Saccharomyces cerevisiae S288C: one gene and its partners. The gene in region 2 interacts genetically with the main gene of each other region. Each region holds a gene or a part of one and is shown on either strand. Other genes may lie near its edges.

The links.
Region 1: mutations in MSN5 (region 2) and TAF8 together harm fitness more than expected from each alone (negative genetic interaction), as found in Saccharomyces cerevisiae (2 studies listed by BioGRID).
Region 3: mutations in MSN5 (region 2) and CDC43 together harm fitness more than expected from each alone (negative genetic interaction), as found in Saccharomyces cerevisiae (3 studies listed by BioGRID).
Region 4: mutations in MSN5 (region 2) and VAM10 together harm fitness more than expected from each alone (negative genetic interaction), as found in Saccharomyces cerevisiae (2 studies listed by BioGRID).

What each region holds. Positions count from the first base shown.
Region 1 is NC_001145.3:40,561-46,178, reverse strand, and holds TAF8 (Taf8p), read left to right. Parts: upstream 1-2,603; coding exon 2,604-4,136; downstream 4,137-5,618. Other genes in the region: CTK3 (Ctk3p), read right to left, coding at 226-1,116; DAT1 (Dat1p), read right to left, coding at 1,388-2,134; VAN1 (Van1p), read left to right, coding at 4,385-5,618. UniProt on the Saccharomyces cerevisiae protein: Functions as a component of the DNA-binding general transcription factor complex TFIID. Binding of TFIID to a promoter (with or without TATA element) is the initial step in pre-initiation complex (PIC) formation.
Region 2 is NC_001136.10:1,139,481-1,145,342, forward strand, and holds MSN5 (karyopherin MSN5), read left to right. Parts: upstream 1-1,687; coding exon 1,688-5,362; downstream 5,363-5,862. Other genes in the region: chromatin-remodeling protein SWR1, read left to right, coding at 1-996; translation initiation/elongation factor MRX8, read left to right, coding at 5,612-5,862.
Region 3 is NC_001139.9:210,750-215,711, forward strand, and holds CDC43 (protein geranylgeranyltransferase type I subunit CDC43), read left to right. Parts: upstream 1-3,331; coding exon 3,332-4,462; downstream 4,463-4,962. Other genes in the region: AMS1 (alpha-mannosidase), read left to right, coding at 1-2,918; LYS5 (holo-[acyl-carrier-protein] synthase), read right to left, coding at 4,529-4,962. UniProt on the Saccharomyces cerevisiae protein: Catalyzes the transfer of a geranyl-geranyl moiety from geranyl-geranyl diphosphate to proteins having the C-terminal sequence Cys-Ile-Ile-Leu or Cys-Val-Leu-Leu. Acts, among other substrates, on Rho1 and Rho2 and CDC42 proteins.
Region 4 is NC_001147.6:452,394-456,835, reverse strand, and holds VAM10 (Vam10p), read left to right. Parts: upstream 1-2,622; coding exon 2,623-2,967; downstream 2,968-4,442. Other genes in the region: GTPase-activating protein GYP1, read left to right, coding at 1-929; VPS5 (sorting nexin 1), read right to left, coding at 1,041-3,068; ALG8 (dolichyl-P-Glc:Glc1Man(9)GlcNAc(2)-PP-dolichol alpha-1,3-glucosyltransferase), read left to right, coding at 3,374-4,442. UniProt on the Saccharomyces cerevisiae protein: Required for vacuolar fusion. Involved in the early steps of the fusion pathway.

The DNA of each region.
Region 1 (5,618 bases), on a different chromosome or scaffold from region 2:
CACACTCTGCAAACCGTGTTAAGTTTATTCGTCTGCACATGTTGAGGACTACAATAAAAGTAACTTAGAGGAAAATTAGCCGCCGTTTCACCTTGAATAGTTTGCTTTTCCTGAAATCGAGATAAGAAAAAGACAAGTTCATTTTGTACGCGCATTGATACGTATATACGTATATATAATACAGATACGGATTCTCTTCACAGATATATATATAACGTCATGGTACTAATATATGTAAGATGCCTTCGCAATGTCATTTAAAGCCTTGATATTTTTGTAATCGTCCTTATCAAATCCGGAATCAGTAGTTTCAAAATGCGTCCACAAGCTTTTAAATTCGGATTCATCCAGTATATCGTTGGAGGGCCTTTCGATGTACCAACTTGTCTCTTTCGACCTCTTGTGCAGTTCCCTGTCTGCTTCCATCCTGTGCAACAAAATGTTTGCATTGGTTGGCTGCGTCTGTAAGTCCGGGTTGATCGCAGTTGTATCGGAATTGAACTGCTGAAAGAAAGCCAATTTCTTCAAGTCTCTGTCCTTAAGCAGAGACTCCGTTCGTTGCAATGATTCTTTATAGTCCTTTGTAGTCCTCTCTGTCTTGACACTGTACCAGGTAGTAGCGTCTATGAGTGTGGTGTCTGATGGTGTGTGCGTGACGCTGGTGGCGTCGTAATGGATTAGTTTGGATAAGTCAAGGAATAGCTCTTTACAGGTGGCTTGATTCGTGAGGGATTTCCAGTCCTGGCAGGGCAGACAAAGCTCAAAAACCAAGTCTATGTCCATGAGTAGCACTTCGTTTAACACTTTTGTAACATTGGTATTGGAATGGCTATGCGGATATAAGTTTCTTATTATTCTAACATAGTATATCACTACGTCCAGTCTATCTAGTGGGTCCATCTTCATGGTTGTATCGAACAAACATTGGTGGAAGTCCTCGTAGTGATGTCTGTAGTTTCTCAAGTAGAACTGTATAGGGTCATTGTTCAGCTTTTGTTGCGATGACGGTGGTGTGGTGGTCGACGATGATGTGATAGAGTCTCTGGTCTTGTGCAGCGTCTTTTGCAGGTTCTTCAGGACCTGAATGAATTGTAATCTAGCTTCAAGAGAGTCCATCCTTGCTGTATACCTTTACCTGGCAGTGCTTTTGTGAGAAATTAACTACCATCTGGTATTCTTTTTCCTTTTCTTTCTAAAATTCTAGTTTTTCATGTTGTGCTTAATTAGGAAAAACAGTGAATTTGAACAGTTGCTGAAGTTGAGATCAGTCTTAAATATACATTGCTCAAAGAAGTACAAATACATATAAATATAAATATCTATGGTTTTCTCAACTAGTTATTATGTGGCATATACGAATGTTTTAGTGGTATGCTGGAAATGAATGTCATATGGTTGCGTTTTTCTCTGTAGAATCGGAATTCTTAGTGATATGTGCTGCCGGCGATGGTTGCGTCCGTGGCTGATTTGATGCTGCTGTGCTTGTGGACAGATCAAGATATGGTTTCACAATGAAAGGCCGCTGTAAGTAGTTGTAGGGCCCCATCAGGAAAGAAGATGACGGGTCTTGATTGCTCCCATTTATAGTAAAGTTCATGTTCACGTTCACGTTGCTGTTAAGGTTGTGGTTTGAATTATGATTAATGCTGTGGTCGGCGTTGTAATTTGAATTCACGTGGCCGCCAGAGTTTCCCGTTGAAGATAACAGGATCTTGTGGGTGATGAACGGCTTGGGCGGAACGACGTCCACTCTCTGTTGCTGTAGTAGTTGTTGCTGCTGCTGCTGCTGCTGTTGTTGTTGTTGATCCATGAATGACTGATGGGTATAATCCAGAGATGGAGGCAATGAAGTTGACGCCGCTGCTGCATGCGGCGGTGGTGCTGCTGATGAATTATGAGCTGAGTGAGACGACGGGCTGTGCGTCAACTCTCTCAGTGCGTCCACAGCTTCCATGTCCCTGGAACTAATAAGACGCGACTCCTGATCTTGCTGAGACCCGTCGGTCTCTTTACCCCCAGTATCTTGCCTCCTCCTCCTACCACTGCCAGGCTTTCTTCCCTCTCTCAACGTCTTCCCTTTTCCGGGCTTTCTGCCGCTTCCAGGTTTCCTTCCTTGTGCCAAAGTTTTCGCCATCACCCAATGTCCTGCTCCAATATACTTTAGGACAGTTTGTAGATTCACAAGGTGATCTGTTCAAAAACTCCACTGACAATAATAGAAATTTTTTTTTTTTCATTTTCTTTCAAAACTCATCACCAAAAAAAAAAAATTGATGCATTAGCATCGGCTTCATAAACGAAAAAAAAAAAAAGAAGTTGAAAAGAAAACATGATATAAATAGTTGCAAACTAAAGTAAGATAACTGAAGATGATTAGTCCTGTTTGCATACATAGTTCTGTTCTTGTTCTACGCTGATGCGATCAATAAAGTCGCTTGAAACGCGACTGGTAGAAGCCAGCTTAAGCACAAATGGTGTATATGGGAGTGTTACCCGATGCTTTTATGTAGAAAATCTTGAACTCTTTAAAAAAGAGAGTAAAAGCAATGGAGAGAGAGGCAAGCAAGCAAACAAACGTGTAATTGAGGGACTCATAAAGGGCAATGACTTCCAAAACGTCAGAAAGTGGTACCGGTACCCAAAGTACCATAGTTCAGCTGAGGAACCTACCGGATTTGACGGAAATTAGTCACTTGGAAATAGATGCTCCCGTAGTTGAAATTCTAAAGAAAACAGTACTTTTCCAGTTGAATTCGTTGAACATCTGCATTTCAAACTTTGCATTGGATGAGCTGGTCAACCTCGTGACCGTCCAAATGGACGGCATGTTTCGGAACCTGCACAATTTAACACTTTTACAAAGAAGGTCGCAAGCTTCTCAAGCAGATTTGAAATTGTTGCTTCGAGAGTTTAACCTGGATGCGCCCTCCCTTTATCAGCAGTTTCAGGCCTCAGAATTCATCAAATCGAAGCATTCCACGGAATATGAAAAATTGATGAGCTGGTCGTCTCTTGCTGCTTTACCGCATAACGAAGAAGATGAAGAGGACGAATTGAATAATATCGAGGAGCAACAGAACGAGATCAACGTTTTGCTGCCTCCCTCTAACCCACTGGAAAAACAGATACCGAGTTGGCTGCCCAACTTTCCGCCTGACCATACCTATAAGTTTACACCTGAGTTCAACCATCCAATTACTGATCTAAAAACCATCAAGAAAGAAATAGTAAAAGAAAGCCAAGAGTCTGAAAAGGCACTATTGAACTTGAACAAAAGTCTCTCCCACATATCATCAGCGTCAAATACCCCGCAACCGCCGGGTTTAGACGATGAGGACGCTATCGAGCAACAATTGGAGATTTGGGGCAACGCGCTGGAAGAAAGGAAACCAACCATAACTGAAAAGTCCTTCAATGAAAACAATATCGAGCAGTATGCGAAGTATAGAGTGGAATTGGCGAGAGAACGTGTCACGAAATTTGAAGTGAATCAGTTGAAAAGAACAAAAAATCCATTCTTGAAAATTTCTGAAACTCTCTACCTTCCAGAGAGTCCTCACCAGTCTCACAAAACCATACAAAAAACCATAGAATTGCAATTTCGTAAGTCTATGACACTATTCATGCACAATTTACCTAAGGTCCAGAAGTTGAAGAAGGAAAAAATACGAATGGCCAAGGAAGAAAGAGCAAAATCGCTAAAACGTCGGCAAGAAGAGCTTATTTCACAACGAACAAAGAGGGAACAAGATGAAGGCCATGATCTTGAGCTTCTACTAAATAACGAGCACGCAAGGGACGCTGCAGACGACACGACCACCCCTAATGCATTAAACAACTCTACCATAGTTATCAACACAAACGCCGAGGATGAGGACGATGACATAAACTTATTTGGCATCTTAGGGAGCAGTGAAGATGAGAATGAAATGTCGAGTATGCCTGCGGAGAACCTGGTCGCGGAATCGGAACCGCCAACAATGACAGCGCAAGATACTACAAATACTACACCTGTAGCACATAACACAACCAATATCGATGCTACTACAAGTCACTCTCCTCATTCGACGCCTAATGAAAACGCCCCGACATCTCCTCCTGCAGATATAGCCACAGATCACGATATAACTATGTAAACAACTGCTTTCAGTGAACCAGTGTTTGTCCCTAATATAATAATACGTATTCAATTTATCTCCGGAGAGGAATTTTTTTTTTTTTTTTTTTTCGTTCTTCGGCGACTATACCGAAACAAGGCTTGAAATATTTAGAATCAAAGAAAGTTTACGTCTTGTAAATTAGTAAATGGTAACGTGAAAGAAGTAGACGTAAGGGTGCAGTAACAGTCATTTGAGCTTGTTGACCTACCAATTAACACAAAAAAATGGGCATGTTTTTTAATTTAAGGTCAAATATAAAGAAGAAAGCCATGGACAATGGACTAAGCCTGCCCATTTCAAGGAACGGTAGCTCGAACAACATCAAGGACAAACGCTCAGAGCATAACTCCAACTCATTAAAGGGCAAATACAGGTACCAGCCGCGCTCCACACCGTCTAAATTCCAGCTTACGGTGAGTATCACATCTCTTATTATTATCGCCGTTCTGTCGTTATATCTCTTTATATCATTTCTCTCCGGAATGGGCATTGGTGTATCCACGCAAAATGGTAGGTCGTTGTTGGGTTCCTCAAAATCCTCCGAAAATTACAAGACTATCGACCTAGAAGATGAAGAATATTACGACTATGATTTTGAGGATATCGATCCTGAAGTGATTTCAAAATTTGATGATGGTGTGCAACATTATCTAATATCACAATTTGGTTCAGAAGTGTTGACTCCCAAGGATGATGAAAAATACCAAAGGGAACTCAACATGCTTTTTGATTCCACTGTTGAGGAGTACGACCTGTCGAATTTTGAAGGTGCTCCGAATGGATTGGAAACACGTGATCACATTCTTTTATGCATTCCACTAAGAAACGCTGCGGATGTATTGCCATTAATGTTCAAGCATTTAATGAACCTAACCTATCCACACGAGCTGATTGATCTGGCCTTTTTAGTCAGTGATTGCTCAGAAGGTGACACTACGTTGGATGCTTTAATAGCGTATTCTAGGCACTTACAAAATGGCACGTTGTCTCAGATTTTTCAAGAGATTGACGCTGTCATTGATTCGCAAACAAAAGGCACCGATAAATTATATCTTAAATATATGGACGAAGGTTATATCAACCGTGTCCACCAGGCATTTTCACCACCATTCCATGAAAATTATGACAAGCCATTTAGATCAGTACAAATTTTCCAAAAGGATTTTGGCCAAGTAATTGGACAAGGTTTTAGTGACAGACATGCCGTTAAGGTTCAAGGTATAAGACGAAAACTAATGGGGAGGGCAAGAAATTGGTTAACTGCCAATGCTTTGAAACCTTACCACTCATGGGTTTATTGGAGAGATGCTGATGTAGAGCTGTGCCCTGGTTCAGTCATTCAAGATTTGATGAGCAAAAACTACGATGTTATCGTCCCTAACGTTTGGAGACCACTACCTACATTTTTGGGAACTGAACAACCATATGATTTGAATTCTTGGATGGAATCTCAGGAGG
Region 2 (5,862 bases):
ACCCCAAGTGCCGTCTCACTAGATATGAGAAAGTTGGCATTGGGATTAAATGATGACAGTTCGGTAGGCGAAAACACAAGGCTAAAGGTAATGCAGAACTGTTTTGAAGTATCCAACCCATTACACCAACTGCAAACCAAATTAACAATCGCATTCCCGGACAAATCGCTGCTTCAATACGATTGTGGTAAATTGCAGAAGTTAGCAATTTTATTACAGCAGCTGAAGGACAATGGACATAGGGCACTTATCTTCACACAAATGACAAAAGTTTTGGACGTTCTGGAACAGTTTTTAAACTATCATGGTTATTTGTATATGAGACTAGATGGTGCCACAAAGATCGAAGACCGTCAAATCCTAACAGAGAGATTCAACACTGACTCAAGAATAACGGTATTTATCCTATCAAGTAGATCAGGAGGGCTAGGTATCAATCTGACTGGGGCAGATACAGTTATTTTTTACGATTCAGATTGGAATCCAGCCATGGACAAACAGTGTCAAGATAGATGTCACAGAATTGGACAGACTCGAGATGTGCATATTTACAGATTTGTCAGCGAACATACCATAGAAAGCAATATCTTAAAAAAAGCCAACCAAAAAAGACAATTGGATAATGTTGTTATTCAAGAGGGTGACTTCACAACAGATTATTTCAGCAAACTTTCGGTGAGAGATTTATTGGGATCCGAATTGCCCGAAAATGCTTCAGGTGGAGATAAACCACTAATAGCAGATGCAGATGTGGCAGCCAAAGATCCCAGACAACTGGAAAGACTTCTTGCGCAAGCGGAAGATGAGGATGATGTTAAAGCTGCAAACTTAGCCATGAGAGAAGTCGAAATTGACAATGACGATTTCGACGAAAGCACAGAAAAAAAAGCAGCTAATGAAGAGGAAGAAAATCATGCTGAACTTGATGAGTATGAGGGCACTGCCCATGTTGACGAGTACATGATCAGGTTTATTGCCAACGGTTATTATTATTGAAGGACCAGGTTCTACTCTTCACCGCTGCCTTAGTTGTCCAAATCGGACTATATACCTATTGTGAATATTTTAATGATATATAGCCATAATGAATCAACAAATTGTATTATTATTTCCGACAACACTATCGCCTCTTGGTTTTTATGGTAATGTACTCACCATGGCATTGTTCCTTGGTCACCAATTTCTATTTACCGGGTGATGGCGGCGCGCCACAGCGGAGGGGCATTGCCACATTGCTGCGCGATCAAGGTTGGTTTTTCCAAAGAGACTTCAAGAGTACTAAGCTTTTGATGTAGTAATATTTGTCAAAGAGTTTTAAGAGCAAGATTCCATTGAACAGAGGTGCTGGAGTGACGAGCGTGTGTGTTTTTAGCCTATCTTTATTCGTTGAGCCTGTAGAAGAGCCGTTCTTTTAAGTACACCCTGATTAGATCCCCCTATTTGTTGCAACCGTTCAAGTTTTGTAGATCGGAAGAAGAGCAAAACAGAAAAATAAACAAGGCGAGAACGTAAGGTGTCATTGCATTAGCCATTAAAAACCATATTCACTCTTTACATTCGTGTAGCAATTGTTACTGTGATAAACTATTGAAATTATTTATAGTATATTTTGTTTTCTTCCTTTTAATCACTTTTTGAATTTTTAGAATCTGAAATTTTTTTTCTAACGTTGATTGGAAGAAAAGTAATGGATTCCACAGGCGCTTCTCAGATTGTTAGCGCACTAGATGTTATTTACTCCCCCAAGTCTAACAATTCTCAACGGCAAGAAGCTCAGAAATTTTTAGATGAAGTGAAATTATGCTCAGAATCGCCCTTTTGGGGCTACGAAATTGCATTGCAAAACCCCACTAATTCTATATTGAAATACTTTGGACTAGGATTACTAGACCATGCAGTGAAGAAAAACTGGAATGATTATGACGAGGGGAAAAGAGTGGCCCTGAGAAAATGGGTCATGGAACTTAATTTTGGGGTGCAAGATTATGATACCAGATATATTAAGGAAAAATTAGCCACTTTATGGGTAGAGGTGGCAAAAAGAACATGGGGTGAGGCTCTTAAGCAGACAAACCCTACGGAAGAACAGTTACTCACATCTTGGGTGGACATGGACAATAACCTTTTCGAACTTTGGAACATAAATCAATCGTCAAGAGAACTAGCATTAATAATTTTCAGAATCCTTTTTGAAGATGTTTTCTTGTTGGACGACCTAATTGTTTTGAAAAGGATGACGGTTATTCAACCCTTATGTGTAATGATTGTTTGCCCTATTGAAGTTTTCGCAATAAAATACAAATTCAGTGATAAATGGACCAAATTTAAAGCTAATGAAGAGGGCTGGTTTTCTGTTTGGATTCCAGAGTTGAATAATGCATTACAACAGAATAATTCTGAATACATCATAAGGCTTTTAGAAACTCTGAAGACGTGTTTAAACTGGCCATTAACAGAGGTCATTGTAAGAAATGACGTGTTATCCTCCTTATTGACTTGTTTATCCAGCAATATCCCAAGGGCGCAGTCAATGGCATTAGACTCGATACATATTCTGTTGACCCGTCCCTATAGTAATGAAAGCCATTACCAAATGACCATAGATCGAGTTTTTGATAATATGGACTTATTAGATAGCGTTTATGAAAGCTTGTTGTTTGATCCTACAGATGATATAGATGAAACGAAATATCCTATAATTAAAAAGTTCGTGGATATGATCAGTTGTCTCTATGTTTGTGTCCCAAAGATTAAGGAGACAAATGGCCAAATTCAAAAATATTTTAAGCTTGTATTAAAGACAACTTATAACCCAAGCTTAATCGTTAGCGGATTAACATTAGACCTATGGTGTACCTGTCTTCGAAACGATGAATACTTACCCAAGCTGGAGAAATATGTCATTCCTGATCTACTACAGTTTGCCGCGGATGCTTTAGTCTATTATGAACAGATTGATGGTCATATTTCCAAAAAATTTGCGGAGATTGATTTTCAATCCAAGTCCGAATTTCAAACATTTTGTTCCACTTATAGGAAAAGAATAAGAGACATCATTAGGTTGATTTCTTGCGTCGAATTAGACCTTACTTATGATTGGTTGAACAACAGATTAAACAATTATTTCAGCTCTCCATTTGGTCAGCAGGTCTTAAGTTCCACATTTTTGGACCATAAATTAGAGCCTTATTTAGGTGCCCTCTCCCAATACATGATTGTTGAATGTTTCATCAATGGTTGTATAAGATGGAAGATCTGGTATCCAACAGGAGATGATTATGACGAAAAACTAGATTCCATATTACAAAAACTGGAAATTTTGTCAAACCAGTTAATTGCATTAAATTTAAGAGAACCATTGTTATTGAAGAAACAAATCCAAAATTTTGCACTTTTTTTGACAATGTTAAAAGATAATGTGCTTTTCACACTTTTAGAAAAAATCATAACAAGCGCCACGATGGACTATCCAGAAATTAATTTGGAAGAGAGAGGCGCTGAATCAGACGCAGTTAGAGATTTGAGATATGCTTGTGGTATCGAGTTGAATAGGATGGCTTTATTAATGCCCGAATCTCTGAAAAAAATATACCCAGACCTTGAAAGTGTCATTGCCAGAATCATGCCCAACTTATCTTACCATGAAAAAATTTCCTTCAAATCCTTCTTATTGATCATTGTATTGAAGTCTTCATTAGATATGAAAGAGGAAAGATTTGCGGCTATTGTGGATCCAGAACTTTTAGCCTGGTCTGATAAAACAACAGTTGTTGGTCTTTCTGATTTGCATTGGTTTATGGAACGCTTAGGTATTGTTCAGATCGCAGAATATTTCCAGAGGCGTGATATCGACGAAAATAGTGACCTTTTATCAATTCCAATTGATGATGAGGGTAAAGAGCTGAAGTCGGAATTGACCAAACGTTGGCAAAGCTTGTTTCCTGTTCGTGCAACAAGAATGTTCATTCATTATTCAATGCAAAGTATAAAGACAGATGAAGAATTCAAAATGCTACAAGATCTGTGGAGACCTAGGATTGTCCCAATATTACCTTACATCACGAGACTACTGTACCAATTGCAATCCTACCACGATCCAGATAATTGGAAAGGATTACCTACGGTTGTGCAATCCTTCGTCAAGTATTCCACTATTGAAAGATTTTGGGAGGCCGGAGCTTCAAATAAATCAAAGGATGAGTTTATTGATGAACATATGAAAGCGATGCAAACCTTACGAGACTTCGCCGACTCCGTAGGACACATCATTAGGTATACAAGGGAATACACTCTACTTGTTTTAAGTGCCATATCATCACTTGGTAGTGTTTTTTACCTTTTGGACGAATCGCCCGACCTACTACTGAACTCTATTGCCATATTTAAGCCAGGTAGCAATGAGATAAGCCCTGGAGTTTCAACACATGGATGGAAACACATAATGAATATAGCCATTCGTCCTATATTAAAAGGTTGTCCAAAAGATTGTCTGGGGAAATTCATGCCCGCATTTTTGCCTAAATTATTTGAAATCCTGGACCTGCTGCTATGTCAGAAATGGTCCTCGCATATGAATGATATGGACATGAACCCAGTTCCAACTGACGATGATCAAATGACTGAAGAAATTTTGGAAGAGAATTTGTTGAGACAACTAACCACAGTTGTTGTTAGAATAGTAATTGATTGTGTTGGTCAAGGCAATGCCAATCCAAACAGTGCTAAAAGCAGGCTAAATAACCATCAAATGGAGATGAGAAAAATTATATTTAATGATTTAAACACCCTTGCTCCATTTTTGAAACTTTTGAACCATTTAATTTCCTTCAAGGATACAAAATGTTCATTTAACTCCATCCTAGTAATGAAATGCTGCTTAACCTCAGTCCTTAATCAAAACAACACGGTGGATGAATATTTCACATTTGAAGTGATGAAAAATCTGTTGCTAAATGTGCTGTGTAATAGTGCGTTTAAGGATTCTTTCCATGAGGCACTATATGCTTTCACTGTGATTTTTTTGACTCTGTGCAAAGAATATCCCTCTGCTAGAGCGTTCCTTTTTGAGATATCTAATGGTTATAATATTGATGAGTTATACAGAAATTTAAGGAGCGTGGACGAATACAAAACACAAAGGGCACTCATGATTGATTTTATAGATTGGGTTAAATCCACCAGTGGGAAAGAAGATGGTAATGTGGACCATGCAGGCGATGAGAGAAAAAGACAAGAGAAAAGGGAAGCTATCCTCAAGAAGGCAAATGAGAGATTAATTAAGAAGAATAAAGAAAACGGAGACATGCTGGATGATCCGAACATTGAAGACGGTGCTGTGGGTAATCTCTTTGATGACAACTGATAATAAGGTGCCATATATACGTAGATGTGTAGATGAAATTAGAGAAAGCAAATAGACATCTGAATCGTGCTAAAAATTGTAATTATTGTGAAAAAAAAAATTCTGTATTCGCAATTTTTTTAATGAAAGTCGGCAGCCGGTAAATATGCATATAATCAAGCGTTTTAATGTGGGTCTGAACAAGGTATTTCTGAAGATTTTTTCTTCACATATTCCCTAATATTTTAGCGAAATAGGAAACCATTGGCAATGGAACAACTGTGTAAGAGGTACGTGCATACACCGGCGGCTTTTATACAAAACATTGTTGCTAACACTAAAAGAACAACGCTAGCCACGCAATTATCTGTTGAAAAAGCTAAAAAAAAAGTTCCCAAGACAGCTCTTAAAAAGAAACTTAATAGTAGGCCAAAAGAAAGGCTTCCGAATTGGCTAAAACTAAACGATGTTTTTAACATACATTACGAAAAGCCATCTAACTCTGATATAAATAAGGTTAA
Region 3 (4,962 bases), on a different chromosome or scaffold from region 2:
TGAAAATCTCTTTGCCTGAAGATTGGGTTAAATCAAACGAGCAACTACTTTTCCAATGGGATTGTTCTAACGAAGGAATTGTCATAGACCCAAAGACTCTAATCCCTGTGACTGCTTTTTCAGGTGGTGAAAGGACTGAATATGTTTTACCGAAAACATCGGATGGGAAACATTTCTTTTACATCGAAGCTGGTAATAATGGTATGTTTGGCTGCGGTGCAGGATCCACTATAAATCCACCAGATGATAATAGATTTTTTCATTTGAGAAAAGCTGATATCGTTTGGCCCGATCTAGATGCTCGTGCATTGTATATCGATTTTTGGATGCTAGGGGATGCTGCAAGAGAGCTACCTGGAGACTCCTGGCAAAAACACCAGGCAAGACAACTAGGCAATGCAGTTATGAATCTTTTTGACCCGAATGATCGTTCAAGTGTTCGTAAATGTCGTGAATTACTACAAAGGGAATACTTTGACTCCTTTTTAGAAAGCAGTAAGGTTTACGAACAAGGTGAATCTCAAGTTTTAACAAATGTTTATGGTATCGGCAACTGTCATATAGATACAGCTTGGCTATGGCCATTCGCAGAAACAAGAAGGAAAATTGTGAGATCTTGGTCTTCCCAATGTACTTTAATGGATCGCTTCCCAGAGTATAAATTTGTTGCTTCACAAGCCCAACAATTTAAATGGTTATTAGAAGATCATCCCGAATTTTTCAATAAAGTGTTAATTCCAAAAATTCAGCAATCTCAGTTTTTTGCTGTTGGTGGTACATGGGTTGAGAATGATACCAATATTCCCTCAGGGGAATCGCTGGCAAGGCAATTCTTTTTTGGTCAAAGGTTTTTCTTGAAGCATTTTGGTCTCAAGTCAAAGATATTTTGGTTACCTGACACCTTTGGTTATTCTTCGCAAATGCCACAACTTTGCCGCTTATCTGGTATTGATAAATTTTTGACTCAAAAGCTTTCCTGGAATAACATCAACAGTTTTCCGCATAGCACGTTTAACTGGGCAGGGATTGACGGTTCTCAATTATTGACTCACATGCCTCCTGGTAATACGTATACAGCAGATTCACACTTCGGTGATGTTTTGCGTACTGCCAAGCAGAATAAGACACCAGAATATTACGGCTCCGGTTTAATGTTGTACGGAAAGGGTGATGGTGGTGGAGGACCAACTGAGGAAATGCTGCAAAAAATGAGGCGTATTAGATCCATGAATAACAGAAATGGTAATGTTATTCCAAAGTTACAAGTTGGTATAACGGTTGATGAATTTTATGATGACATTTTGAAAAGGACTAACCAAGGCCATGATTTACCCACATGGAGTGGTGAATTGTATTTCGAATTTCATAGGGGGACATACACCAGTCAAGCTCAGACCAAAAAATTAATGAGGTTGTCCGAAATTAAACTACATGATTTGGAATGGATAGCTGCCAAAACATCAGTTTTATATCCCGATTCGTATAAATACCCTTCCAAACAGATTAACGAACTTTGGGAGAATGTTTTGTTATGTCAATTTCACGATGTTCTACCAGGATCATGTATTGAAATGGTATATAAGTATGAGGCTGTCCCTATGTTGCACAACGTTGTGAAAGAATGTACTTCCTTAATAGACAAAACCGTTCAATTTCTTCAGAGTCAGAGTAAGGCAGATTTGGTTGAGATGAGAACATTAACTTGGTCAAAACCAGAAAAGGTTTCTGAGGAGTGCTCGTTGAACGGTAGTTACACGTCCTCTGTAACCGGGTACGATGACTATATAGTCCTTGCCAATGGGAAGTTGAAAGTTATCATTTGCAAAAAGACTGGGGTGATCACAAGCATTACGGATGAAACTTTGGGGGTAGAATACCTGGACACGGAACATGGCAGAAACAAATTGGGCGCCAACCAGTTTGTTATTTATGATGATAAACCTTTGGGCTGGCAGGCTTGGGATACTGAACTTTATTCCGTCAACCAATACAAGTATGTAACAAAGCCGAAGAAAGTTCAAGTTTCCTGCAACACAAAAGAGAAATGTGCTGTTGAGGTCATTTTTCAAATTTCCGAAAAATGCAAAATCAAATCAGTGATATCACTCAATGCAACTGCGGTCACTGATGCTAAATTAAGTAAAGTAGACATTTCTACGACGGTAGAAAACTGGGATGCTAGAAACAAATTTTTAAAAGTTGAATTTCCCGTTAATATTCGGAACGATTTTGCTTCGTATGAAACTCAATTCGGGATTACCAAAAGACCAACACATTATAATACCTCATGGGACGTCGCTAAATTTGAGGTTTGCCATCACAAATTTGCTGATTATTCTGAATACAGCAAGGGTGTTTCAATTTTGAACGATTGCAAATATGGGTTTTCCACACACGGTAACTTGATGAGATTATCATTATTAAGGTCACCAAAGGCTCCGGATGCGCATGCTGATATGGGTACTCATGAGATAAAATATGCTATCTATCCACATAGAGGAGCACTATCAAGCGACACTGTTAAGCTCGCTCACGAATTCAATTATTGCTTCAAATACAAACTCCCCAAAGATATTGGCATGAATTTTGATGACATCATAAGCATTTCCGGAGATGAGAATGTCATTTTGTCTAACATAAAAAGAGGCGAAGATGATAGTGCTGTCAAGTCCAACTATTCATTAAATCCAAGGGATGAACAAAGTATTGTGGTAAGGGTTTACGAATCTCTTGGCGGGGAATCTTTTGCTTCACTAAATACCACACTAAATTTGAAGCGTATTGAGAAGGTCGATAACTTGGAGATGAAAGTTTATAAGAGTTTGACAGCAACGCGAGACGAATCAAATCATGCAATAAACAGAATTCCCATTAAATTGAGACCTTTTGAGATTGCCTCATTCAGGTTGTATTTCTGAGTTTGTCTCCCTCACTGTTTTTTACATTCACTCACTCCCAAACTTATGCCATTTCTATCATGATAACCAAAAATAGTCTTAACAAAATACATATAAGTAAATAATGCTAAATAAAAAAGCAAAAAAATAAAATTTATATCACACTTGTAAAACCTTTAAATGATCTTCTTTTTTACCTGTTTTATTCACTTGTTTTTTTTTTTCTGAGTTGTTGCGCCTTGGAAGAATGGAAAAGCAATAGTTTCAGTGACTATAGTATACAATCAAAACACCCGCCAGTTCAAAACTATTACTTGGTCACTAACCCCCAAGTCATCTCTAGCAATTTAAATTTCAATTTTAAGAAAACCTTTATTTATCCAACGTGAACAAGTACTTTCAAGCACTTCTGCCCACCGCTATATCGTGGAAAAATGTGTCAAGCTACCAATGGCCCGAGTAGAGTTGTGACTAAAAAGCATAGGAAATTTTTCGAAAGACATCTACAGTTGCTTCCCTCTTCACATCAGGGACATGACGTGAACAGAATGGCGATAATATTCTACTCAATCTCAGGACTCTCTATATTTGATGTTAACGTTTCTGCGAAGTACGGCGATCATCTTGGCTGGATGCGCAAACATTATATCAAAACAGTGCTGGATGATACAGAAAATACTGTGATATCTGGATTTGTTGGAAGCTTAGTCATGAATATCCCTCACGCAACAACGATTAATCTACCAAATACTCTCTTTGCATTGTTGTCCATGATTATGCTGAGAGATTACGAGTATTTTGAGACTATACTAGACAAAAGAAGCCTGGCGAGATTTGTTTCTAAGTGCCAACGACCTGACCGTGGCTCGTTTGTATCTTGTTTAGACTATAAGACAAATTGTGGATCTTCGGTTGATTCAGACGATTTAAGGTTTTGCTACATCGCAGTTGCCATTCTGTACATATGCGGATGCCGATCCAAAGAAGACTTTGATGAATACATTGATACTGAGAAGTTGCTTGGCTATATAATGTCGCAACAATGCTACAACGGAGCTTTCGGTGCCCACAATGAACCACACTCAGGGTACACATCTTGTGCGCTGTCTACCTTAGCTTTACTCTCTAGTTTGGAAAAGCTATCAGACAAGTTTAAAGAAGACACCATAACCTGGCTATTACATAGGCAAGTATCAAGCCATGGATGTATGAAATTTGAAAGCGAATTGAATGCCAGCTATGATCAATCTGATGATGGCGGTTTCCAGGGAAGGGAGAACAAGTTCGCTGATACGTGTTACGCATTTTGGTGCTTAAATTCACTACACTTACTAACAAAGGATTGGAAAATGCTATGCCAAACTGAACTAGTCACAAATTATTTGCTTGATCGAACGCAAAAAACATTAACTGGAGGCTTTAGTAAAAATGACGAAGAAGATGCTGATTTATATCACAGCTGTCTAGGGAGCGCTGCGTTAGCATTAATTGAGGGGAAATTTAATGGAGAATTATGCATACCTCAAGAAATATTTAATGATTTTAGTAAAAGGTGCTGTTTTTGAAGTTCAAACAGTAATAAGAGTCTATCGATTACATAAATGTGAGCAAGCGAAAAAAAAAAATTGGCATTATAAACCATCATTTTCGATGAAATAATCAATCAACGTAGATAAGCTGATATTATATAATTTTGGTCTGTTCGTGTTGATTTTATCACTGATGGACTTTGGCATACAGATAGTGACAATTTCGTTATTGAACCATTGAGAATGGAAAATCAATGGAACTTCATCCAGAGTTATGCACATAGAAGCTCCCTCAGCCGGAAAAAAGCTGATAGCGCCAAAATCTATTAGTGACAAGTCTGTGTTAAGGCCAGTTCCAGTAAATTTTGTATACGACTCCTTCAAGGACCATAAGTAAGTAAATATTGTGCATGGATCAGACGCTTTCAGTAAACCGTTAAATTCTCTTTCACTAAAAACTTCTTTAAATAGCTCCAACTCTTCCCTCCCGCCATAATTGCACGGAGAAGCGATATCAATTCCGACATCCTGGTATT
Region 4 (4,442 bases), on a different chromosome or scaffold from region 2:
GAGATATCCCAACTTGGCATCAGATAGAGATAGATATACCGAGAACAAATCCCCACATTCCCCTCTACCAGTTCAAATCCGTACAGAACAGTTTACAACGAATACTATATCTTTGGGCAATCAGGCATCCTGCTAGCGGATATGTGCAAGGTATTAATGATTTAGTTACACCATTTTTCGAGACTTTTCTTACCGAATATCTGCCGCCTTCACAAATAGATGATGTAGAGATAAAGGACCCCTCTACTTATATGGTAGATGAACAGATTACAGATTTAGAAGCGGACACGTTTTGGTGTCTTACCAAATTGCTCGAACAAATTACCGATAACTATATTCACGGACAACCAGGCATATTAAGACAAGTGAAGAATTTGAGTCAGCTAGTGAAACGAATTGATGCTGATCTATATAACCATTTTCAAAATGAACATGTGGAGTTTATACAGTTTGCATTCAGATGGATGAATTGCCTTTTGATGAGAGAATTTCAAATGGGTACAGTAATAAGGATGTGGGACACATATTTATCTGAAACTTCACAAGAGGTCACTTCTTCTTATTCTATGTCGTCCAATGACATTAAACCTCCTGTTACTCCAACAGAACCTCGAGTGGCAAGTTTTGTTACACCAACAAAAGATTTCCAATCTCCCACCACAGCTCTTTCTAATATGACACCAAACAATGCTGTTGAAGACAGTGGAAAAATGAGACAGTCTTCGTTGAATGAGTTTCATGTGTTTGTTTGTGCTGCATTCCTCATCAAGTGGAGTGACCAGCTAATGGAAATGGATTTCCAAGAAACTATAACTTTCTTACAGAACCCTCCTACAAAGGACTGGACTGAAACGGATATTGAAATGCTTCTGAGCGAAGCCTTTATTTGGCAATCTCTTTACAAAGATGCTACGTCGCACTGGCTGTAAACGGACCTATTCATTTTACTTACTGTATAGTATGTAATAATATAAAACAAAAATCTCCTAATTCATAAATCCTGAGGAACGTGACACATAAAGTTATTGTATACAGATCATCTAAAGATTGGTTTGGTAGAATGTCTCCCAAAGCTCGATGCATTCTTTTTGAGATTCAATGGCCGCTTCTAGTGATATTTCCATGCCGTTTCGGAATTCCCGAATTTTATCAGTAGAGAAACCTTGGAATTCATCTTTTATTTTATCTCCTACCGCTTGCCATTGTTTTTTTGTAAGGTTATACCTTCTCTCCAATGTTTGAAATTCCTTTCTCATTTCTCTGAATTTTTCTGAATGAATATTTTGACCCAATTTGCCCAATTGTGAGTGTTTCTTATTCATGTCATTTTCTATTACTACCAAGAAATACCCCAATTTGGATCTCTGATTGAAAATTGCTTTTACGCTTGCCAATGACCTAATATAGTCGTCCAGCATCACACCCATCGTCAAAGTCTCTTGCAAAGAGCTTCTCTCAAGAGAGCTTTTTATGCTTTTATGAACATCAGCAAAATTATTCAGCAGTTCCGAATTAGGTTCACTCACGTTCAAAGACGCTAGGGTTTCTACCATACTAGAGAATTCTTCTGTTGATGCAGCCAGGGTGTTTCTTGAGGTGTCGACCATTTCCAAAGATTTGCTCAATTTTTTTAAATTATCTTCCAGTTCATCAATCTTTTGTTTCTTTTCGATAAAGAATTCATCTGCCTCGTTGTACTTGGGCAGTGATGAAAACGATATACTCATAAATCCCTTGTGCGATTCCGCGTCGATACCCCCATTTTTTAAGACCTCGGCAGCATCCTCTGCACCTAGTAGTTGTATCTCACTTATCCGGACTTCTGACAGATCGTTGCTATCATTAATAGCGCCAGATCCAGTCAAAAATGCCCTTTTTTTAGACTCTGAACTAAAGTCATCACTTGTCAAAAAGAGTAGAAAATCTTTGTCCTTTTGTAGAACCGGATCTTGACATATTTTTTTTAACATGCTTTCCATTTGAAATCTTCTATTTTCAATGAAATTTTCCTTAAAACTGCCTACTGATTGCTTCTCTGGTGGTGGTGGTATTACTTTACCCCAATGGTTGTTCTGCAATTGACGATATAGCCACCTGAAATCTCTGTAACGCCTGCTTACCTGTGCATATTTTAGCTCAAGTAATGATGATTCACTGATTACAGTATACTCCACATGAATGGATGTTAGCTCTCCTACTTTGACCGGGTCTTTAACTTCAACTTTGAAAGCCACAGCCTTTTCGGTTGGTGGCACCTTTGAGCCAATCTTGGTTTTTCCAAACTTTTCTGAGTTTTCCTCGACCTCAGCAGGACTTGAAATATTAGCACCTGTCTGAGGAAGATTGTATAAAGGCCTGTCCACTTGCTCAAGGATATTTTTTTCAACAGAAGCTGTGAACTTGCCCTCATTGTTTTCTCTCCTTTCATTCCTATCGTCCAATGGCTCTTCAACAAATTCATTCTCTTTTTCAGCTTTCTTTAAGGGATCAGTAAAGGGTGTTTTGATGGTATCATCGGAAGCAGTTGTTCTCTTCGCTTTCAGAGAATGGTTGCGTTTGGAGTTTCTTTGAGCTCTGGCGGAATCAAACAGAATTCGTGGTTTGCCGGATCTTCTTCCAGAGATGCTTTTTGAAGTATTTGGTGAAGTGTTAGCATCGTATATCGTATCGTCAAAAACTAAGGGAGAGTTGGCGTTTCCAGTGAACAATGCGCCACCGGATTCTCTTGTTGCAATAAATTGTGTAGTGCTATTCTTGAGATCAGCAATCGGATCCTGTTCAGGGGCTAAAGAATTAATAAGATCGTCAGCTTTGGAATTGTCATGCTCCTCTAGTTGCGGATTACCAGCCACCGACAAACCAGGGTCTTTCCATTCTGGCGCACTATCCAAGTCTATCTTGTCCGCAAATGAAGCTGTGGTCTCTAAAAGCTCATTGTCTTTTCTTTCTTCATTTGTAGATATTTGACCAATTGATTCAATTGAATTTGAAACGAGGCTCTGAGTTTTATCTCCCTCATGATTTAGTTCGTCCCAAACAGGTGCTTCTAGATTATCCTCGTAGTCCATGGCTTGTTATTGCAGGATGTATGAAAGTTTATAAAATCCCTGCTGCAAATTAAGAGATATATGGTTTCGTTCACTACGTAGTTATAGTAAATAACCTTTGCTTAACCCATTTTTCAAAGCATTTTTAAAATTTACTGTTATCACTTAGTTGTTCTTAGCGGACAACTTCCGAAAAGTGAAATTTCATTTTTCAAAACGACAATAGTGGTATAGAATTATAGAATAACATACGTTAAAAATAGCTGAAGTTCATTACAGTTCTGTAGTGGTCAGCAAGGCATTTGACGTCTATTGGATAGCCTACGATGAAAGGTGATCGTTCGAGGCAAAATATGGCTGTGACAAAGAAGGCAAAGTTAAAAAAAAATGACGAGCCAAAAAAGGTTTTGAAGACTGCCGCGACCGAAAAAGGTGAGGGATCCAAGCGCTACTCCTTATGGAATTTCTGGATAAGCACATTGTTTTTAAAATTACTATTGATTCCTGACTACTTCAGTACAGATTTTGACGTTCATAGAAATTGGCTGGCAATCACCAATAAATTGCCCATCAGCGAATGGTATTATGAGCACACTAGTCAATGGACATTGGATTATCCGCCATTTTTTGCTTATTTTGAATGGTTTTTATCGCAATTTGTTCCTAAATCTGTACGTGATGACGGTTGTTTGGATATAGTGGAGATCGGAAAGTTCGGTTTGCCAACAATCGTTTTCCAACGACTCACTGTCATCTTCAGCGAAATTCTTCTATTTGTCATCCTTCAAATATACATTAATACTACAAAGCTAAGTGAAAGATCTCAAAGTTTTGTGGTTGCTTCTAGCATTGTACTATCACCCGGGTTTTTAATAATAGATCACATTCACTTCCAATATAATGGTTTTCTTTTTGCGATTCTAATAGGCTCCATTGTCGCCGCCAAGAATAAGAGATACATCTTGTGCGCTGTTCTGTATACTACAGCCATATGTTTCAAGCATATATTTTTATATTTGGCGCCATGTTATTTCGTGTTTTTATTGAGAGCATACGTTCTCAATGTCAACAATTTCAAGTTTAAAAGTTACAAAGATTTTTTGTTCCTGATAAGATGGGCAAATCTTTTGAAGTTGGCTACCGTTGTTGTTGGAATTTTCACTATTTGTTTCCTTCCATTTGCTCATCAAATGCCGCAAGTGTTGAGCAGGTTATTCCCATTCTCAAGAGGACTGACGCATGCATATTGGGCACCAAATTTCTGGGCGTTGTATTCTTTTATGGATAAAATACTCACTACGGTAATGTTGAAATTACCGTACGTCCACACTTTTGCTACAAAATTTATTAAACCTCCTCTGATCCCTCAGAATATCAAGGAAATTAATGAAAGGC